Linked DNA regions of Lytechinus pictus. The protein of the gene in region 2 interacts with the protein of the main gene of each other region in a pairwise test. Links are inferred from orthologs where the notes say so. Each region holds a gene or a part of one and is shown on either strand. Other genes may lie near its edges.

What was found.
Region 1: the proteins of syntaxin-16-like (region 2) and alpha-soluble NSF attachment protein-like interact in a two-hybrid assay, tested with the Drosophila melanogaster proteins (2 studies listed by BioGRID). The link is inferred for Lytechinus pictus from reciprocal best matches to the Drosophila melanogaster genes Syx16 and alphaSnap.

The regions. Positions count from the first base shown.
Region 1 is NC_087251.1:20,748,424-20,752,356, forward strand, and holds the start of alpha-soluble NSF attachment protein-like, read left to right. Parts: upstream 1-1,721; 5' UTR 1,722-2,001; coding exon 2,002-2,093; intron 2,094-3,933. UniProt on the Drosophila melanogaster protein: Required for vesicular transport between the endoplasmic reticulum and the Golgi apparatus. Also between the endosome and phagosome.
Region 2 is NC_087246.1:49,420,690-49,424,622, reverse strand, and holds the start of syntaxin-16-like, read right to left. Parts: upstream 2,931-3,933; 5' UTR 2,802-2,930; coding exon 2,721-2,801; intron 1-2,720.

The DNA.
Region 1 (3,933 bases), on a different chromosome or scaffold from region 2:
TTTTGTTTTTTATTGTTTGAATTATACAATTTTTAATTTTTTACAGATTTGACAATAAGGGCCAACTTGACTGAACCATATACAGTATTAAACAACGCTAACTACACATGTTCCAGGAGGAATTAATCGTTGTTTCGCTTGACAATGAGGAGAAAATTAGAATATTTCTTATTTCACATAATAAAGTGCAAAAGAAATAGTGAGTGGATGACGTCATTTGCATACCGAACTGGATGTGAATAGAACTGTTTTGTGAAATAAAGCGAAATTTTAAAAAGACATAGCTTTCTTATTTTACATCCGATTTCAATGAAATTTTCGGTGTTACGTTTTTTGGATTTTTCTCTTATTCAAATCAACTTTTTGTTGGGGTGGACTTGTCCTTTAAGTAAAACTTTAGGCCTAGACCTATTTTTTTCAAATTTCTATGATATATTTAGTACACTTTAAAGGGATGGTCCAGGCTGGAGATATTTATATCTCAATAAATAGAGTAAAATTCACAAAGCAAAATGCTGAAAATTTGATCAAAATCAGATAACAAATATCAAAGTTATTGAATTTTAAAGATTTGCATTATTCTGGTGAAACAGTTCTAGTCATGTCTTAATGAATATTCATTAGGTGGGCTGATGATGTCATATCCCCACTTTTGTATTAAGTTTATTCAACATTTTTCTTCCAAGAACTAAAACAATTGGATTGACAACTGATTAACTCTAGACTTAACGTGCCATGAACACATATCTGTGCATCCACTGGAGTGCCACAAACACATTTTCATGCAATGGTCATACAGCTATTGTTATGCCTATTGCATTTTGAGGAGTGCATTGCATGCACAAGTGATTCCATTGTTCAGTTCAGCTTAAGGTCAAGAGGTTTAAATTATTCAGGAGTAATTCCCTTTTTTTTTAATAAATAAAACAATTAAATATAGACTCTGAAAAAAAAAGGCACTCGCTGATTACAGTAAATGGCACATTAAGAGTTTAGTGCATTAATAATAATAGTTATTTATTGCCACAACTTATTTCATCATAATCATAATGGAGACACATCATTGTACACATTTATGAAAATATGAAAACAATTATGACATAGGCCTATCCGATTTTGATGAAATTTTCAGCATATTGCTCTGTGAATTGAGTTTTTTTTAACTATATTTATCTAGATAAAAAACTTTTCAGCCCAGAGTATCCCTTTATTAACTGTTACTCATATTTTGTGAAATAAAAAGAAATGCATGTTAAATCTTATTCTTAACCCAAATTGTTTGATGCGCAGACTTGAGACTGAGTCTCTCTAAGTAACCATGGAGGTAGAATGCTTTAACTACTCTCGGCCTCAAGACAAAATTCAAGACGATCTCGCATGTGATTGTGAGACTGACTGAGCAGTGAGCTGATCGACTGGTCTGGCTCTGCCTCTGGGCCGGGTCCCAATAATCATGATAATCAGCTTTCTTTAGTTGTTTCTTACCAAACCTGCAGTTGCAGTTAAGGCAGTCAATGATGATTAAACCGGTGTTTGGAGCAACCCACTGAGTCTTGAATTATTTCTGTCCTCTGAAATGAAGCAAGTGCAATTTAGAATGATGATCTTTTAACTTTTTGTTGCTGAATTAAACACCGGCTGTTATTTTCAAGTCAAATCAGCTGTTTCATCAAAACAAATCGAATCTCGCGCGAGCGCGCGCTCTGGTTAGAAAGGTCATCCCGCGATATTGCTAGTTCTGCATGCTGTCTACATGGGATCGTGGGATGAAGCTTCCGCATCCGGGCGCGGCCGCGGCCGGTAGGCGCGCGCTAGATATAGCTACATAGCTTGCTACGGTACGTGTGTGTAGATTTGGTGACACAACACTGAATGAATGATGTCATTATTATTAGACCGATCTTCAATCATTATCGTCATTGATAGATAGTTTAACTTGAAAATTTCCTTTAAATTCTGGTCGTGAGTCGTCAACATTAACAATACATAATCGCTTCAGGAATGGCGGATCACGAAGCCAAAGCAAATCAGTGTATGATTGATGCTGAAAAGAAGCTGAAGTCATCACAAGGATTTTTTGGTTCCATGTTTGGGTGAGTTGAATCTCTGTCTCTGATTCCTGAGTCTGATTTGATTTAGCGAAGTTAATCTTATCTTAACGTTTCTGATATTGACACAGGTTGACTCCACTAACTTTAGTTTTCAATTTTAGTGGGGCTAACGGGTGTATATGGATAATGGAACTCTTCCCTTGGCTTAATCTTTATTGGCCCTATTCAGGCTATTGATTGGTAACTTTGTCATTATTAATTAGACTTGGAGTGGACTGTTCTAGTCTAGTGACGTGTGAGACTTGAATTTTGAAAGACTGGGCGAACACTGGCCAAATTTGGATTTTGGTAGGTACATGTAACTGGGGGTTGGGGCCTAACGTAAGCTTGCAATGGGTTAGACAGCTGGCAGCCGTCTGTTTCGAGGAGTTTTTAAACATTTTTTTATTTTCTTAATTTCTCCTCGTACACAGACCGACAGACGGCTCGCTATCGTGCAGCCACCATTAGGGGACTTACAATGCAAAATCCCCCCGTCGGGGCTCTTCAATTTTGTCTTTAATGAATCAAACTTTTGAAAATTAACGCGACAGAAATGCAAATTAATATTCTCTCTTAGTCTTGGCATTAATTGCCAAAAACCGGGGAAAATCAAGTTAAACGGAACAAAAACAGTGACTTACATGTATGTACCTTGGCTGTCGCGCTACTTCACTGCCCTGTTTTATCCAAACTTAATACACATAAACATATGGCCATTGAGTCCCCTGTACAGATCGCGCTAGAACTTCGGTCTCTGTATTTAGTGAGTGAAGCCAACGGAGTTCAGCTGAACAACTAACATAACAGAGACCGAAGCTTTTGGTCTAGCAATGGGTATGGTATCTATAGGGTTAGTATACTAATACTAACCTCGCAATACATGTACATGTGAGTGGGTATGGTAGTGAATCGTAATTTGTATAGCCAAACACTTCATGAATTCAATCATCAAACACTATATTTTCCAAAAATTCACCAAACTTGTCTTTCACCATATAAACATACAAATAGATCTAGATTCTAGGCTATGTAGACATTTTGCCAAAATCGTTTATCTTTTATGACTTTTTTATGATATCAGATTCCGATCGAACCCCTCTTCGCATGTGAAATACCGGTATGGTGAAAATGGTATCGTATTACTGAATGTGTGTTTTCTATGGGAAAACTTGAGAAAACAAAATCACTGATGAGCTATTTTTACAATATTTTATTAGTTTATGAATATAAAGTCTTTGAAAATGTGTTTTGACCATTTTTCTGTCTATTCAAGTTCCCTTTGAAATGATTTTGCAAAGTTTTGAGCATATGAAATAAATTTCTGATGCGTATAAGGCGTGCGTCCGGTAATACATTCTTCCCTTCTCTCAGTTCCCTTTCTATGTTCCTTGCCTCCTTGTTCATATGTGCACATCAATCCATGTTCTTCTTCCGTTGAGTACAGTCCTCTTTACAGAGTATAGTCGTACTTGGCTGAGGCCGCAATCACAAAAGCACATGACATTTGGTGCAGTTGAAAAAAACTAAACTATAGTGCAAGTAAAAAGATGCATCTCAACTGGAGAGCTAACGGAGGGTGAGTGGTTCCAGGTGGCTCCTGAAACACTCAGTTGAAGGAGCCAAAACCACTGTTGTAGGCAGGACATTCCACAAGCAGATGGTACTTGGGAATCTCATTAAACAAACATATTTGAGGGAATCGAGAGTTGCTGTCCTAATTTTTTGTACAGGAAAAGAAACACTAGTTAACTTGAGCTCATTTTTCTACCTTGAATTAAATATAAGTGTTTTACAAGCAATAGTAGGTGTACCTCAAGCGATGTTCGTGCAGGCTTCAATT
Region 2 (3,933 bases):
ACATGTCACTGTGACCTTGACTTTTGACCTCGAAATCAATAGGGTTCCTGGGATCCATGCTAGTAGTATACAAACCAATTTATATGAGCCTAGGTTAGGTTAAACTGAAGGTATCACATTTACAAGGACTGCAGAAGGGTAAGATGAAAACAAGTCACTGTGCCCTTGACCTTTTGACCTCGAAATCAATAGGCTTCCTGGGATCTATGCTAGAAATACACACACCAAATTATTTGAGCCTAGGTTAAGTTAAACTGAAGTTATCGCATTTACAAGGACTGCAGAAGGGTAAGATGAAAACATGTCACTGTGACCTTGACCTTTTGACCTCAGACTTCAAAATCAATAGGCTTCCTGGGATCCATGCTAGCATTATACACACCAAATTATATGAGCCTAGATTAAGTTAAAATGAGCCTAGATTAAGTTAAACTGAAGTTATCGCGTTTAAAAGGACTGCAGAAGGGTGCGATGAAAACATGTCACTGTGACCTTGACCTTTGACCTCAAAATCAAAAGGCTTCCTGGGATCCATGCTAGTATCATACACACCAAATTATATGAGCTTAGGTTAAGTTAAACTGAAGTTATCGCGTTTACAAGGAAAAGTTAATGGATGGACGGACAGACGGACGGACACCGAGCATGGTACCATAATACGTCCCGTAAGACGGGCGTACAATAAAAAGGTTTGTGGGCTACATTTTTTTCTCTCTACAAATATAGGGCTTCACAAGTATCTCATATATGTTCAAAACTACAATTTTGGAGCATTATGGTATATTAAAAGTAATCCTGATATGCAAATTAGATCATATATTGGATATGTATAATGTATGACTGTGCAAAAAATATCTAGCATTTATTCAATAGATGGAGAGAAAATGAGAAAAAAAAAATTCCAAACATCTTGATGTTTCGATCTCAGTTGCAGGTGTGCGCTGACTAAATATTTAAGCTAAACCTGGTGAGTCTTTATTTCTTTATATCAATCACATTTTTATATTGGACCAGAATCTCTTCTCCATTTTTCTGTGATTTTCTCCTGCTATAATATGCTGCAAAAGAGAAAACATAATGCATACTCTAGGTTTTAGGATTCAAAGAGGAAGAAAGGAAAAATCATTGTTTTGTATCTGGATTTGTTATGCATAATTTATTTACTTCACCATTATGAGTGCGTGTCTATATGTTGTAGATCAAAGTAAAAAAGTCCACACAATGCAAGAATAATACAATTCATTTATCCTCTTTCAATCATTTCATATTATCAATGATAGAACAATATATATTTTACCACAAATCAATTTGCAAAGTATAATAACAGCAAACAAGGTTTACATACAAGATGTACAAAGTAAAAGTAACTTAGTGGTAGTGGCTGCAGAATTAATATTTCAGAAGTTTGTTTTATTCATTGTTTATTCATTTATTCATTGTTGTAGGGAACAGAAAATCCATGTCGACATGTCGCATAAAAATTAATCCCGACATCGACATTTGGAAAAGGGACCGTAATTTAGGCTCCCTAACAATCATTCGATCATGGCACATAACACTCTCAAATGTAGTCACCTTGACACGAGTGATATCCCCACACTAGATCTAGATCTATACAGGCTCAGTTCAGGAAAACATATTTTGAATAAGCTAGAGTGAATTTACTTCCAAAATCGCCGATTTAATCCACATTTATTCTGGAGAATCAAGTTTTTGTACCACGATCCGGTCTCGAAAGCATTGCGCAATCACACTCGGAGCCAATTTGAGAATCACCAATTGCAACAGTGATAATTGCGTATTAAACGCTGGTACACATGTGCTGCAAACGCAAGCTCCTCAAATTGACAATAAAAATAATAAAAATTGATCGATAATTTCAGTACCACCTCTGCGGCGATCCAAACAAAGGAAGGAAAGTTTTCTGTGACTTCGTGAAATGAAGCGCTCAATTACAGCAGTCACAACTTCGACGAAAACATTTGTTCGCTGCTGCTCACGTCTATGTGAAAAGTAATACATTGAGGAGCAGCGTATTATCAATATCAACGCATCGATAATTGCATGGGTACGGTGAACGTGAATGCTGCTCGCTAGCACGGAGCAGAGATCAGATGATCGTCAGGCTTGGGCCCCGCGCCGCACCGACGTATTTCTGCTGCCGCGCAGCTTGCAGGCATTCTTTATTAATTTGATGCGCTGCTAAAAATTGCGCCAAAAATTAAATTACTGTGGATAAATGTTTCTAACTTTTCAGGTAAACTTTACATTCGTGACTTAGGCTAGACCCCTTTTTATTTCATATTTACATGTCGATGTGGGTGCGTGAATGTCGGAAACATTGAAAATCCTTCGTATGTCGATATGAGGCCATCGACAACACTCAACAGCACTAATTCAATGACATTCACATTGTCATTGATCATGTTGATTGATGTTTTTCTTTATAATTTTTGGGCAACCAAATAATTAATAAGTTAATGTGGATTTAGAGATATGTTTTTTATAGGAGCATGTCGAATCAGGAAGATAACAAAAAAGAAAACAAAGATAAGTCTTAAAGACAAACGCGATTTTCATACCGGCCGTGCAGCTGCCCTTGCCCGGATGGAGAGCCAGCCACCGCACCGGTCACCTTCGCGAATGATCCTACCCCGACAGGCCCGGGCAATATGATTGTGAGCGTTCGGTAAAACATTTGGGTATCTACCGGTACTTACATGGTCCGAATATATGTGTCTGCTCTGCGCTGCATTGTTTCTCATTAGTATGAAAACTTCTGTTAGACTTCTGGAAGCCATTGTGATGTGTTTCCTCTCTCAAAATTTGATCAGACCTGTTCAAAAGAAGAAAAATTTATGGATTTATTGTTGTTCCACGTAAACCATATTGACAGGTTTCATGTAATTGTACTATTCATCAACGTAGAGGGCGGGTGACGTTAAAGTTTACCCTGACAAAAATAGAAGAAAAAAAAATAAGAAGAAATAATAATAAAAAAAAAAGTTTGAGAAAAATCCATCCGTCAAAGAATAAAACAAGTAATTAGAATTTTCATCATTAGATCATATGCGAGCAGCTTTCCTACATATCGTGTGGTAAACAAATTAAAGAAATGTCATTTTCTCAAAATACTGTACCTTTGGTATATATCAATTGTCAAATCATTTCACACCCGGATCCAATAGGGGGCGAGACCCCCCCCCCCCCCTATTGGCGGAGCCAAAAAAAAGACAAAAGATGGAAAGAAAAAAAAAAGAAAAAAGGGGGAAAGAGAGGAGGAAAAAAGAGGGAAAATAAGAAGAGGAAGACGAATTATTTAAAATAAGGTGAAAGGAAGACTTGGAAAATAAAAATTTTCGCGCTCGCATTAATTGTTAAAAATATATTAACCTCTGCATCCTATTCATGACTACAAAAGTGCTTAGAATAACCAGTTTTCAGGCTCTAATATCAATAAATTTCTTGCTCTCATTAGGCTTATTAGATTAATAAATTAGATCATTGAATCCCTATAAATTGTCCCCCTTTTCAGAAAGGAATATGTCGAGTAAGTTTCATCTCCCGCATATTAGGAAGAGGAATAGGAAGATAGCCACCATTTTCATGTGATGACAAAATGTCCTTGAAATGTGTGAATTAGGTAAAGAAAATAATTTTATGCTCAGGTGCTTGCCTCCCCCTCCGTTTTACTAAAAATAAAACATCTGAGGCAGCTTAACTTTTTTTTATTATGTTATGCTTATTATTATGTACCACATTGTGCAACGGAAATCGATAAATGTAATGAAATGATGAAAAAATGTATTCAGAATGCCCAGATTATAGGTTTAGATCTAAAAAAAAACACGCACGCATGTTTAAAGAGATATACGCAGCTTCTTCTTTATTTAAAGGGCTGTTCAAGGCTGAAAATAGTATGATTTGAACAGA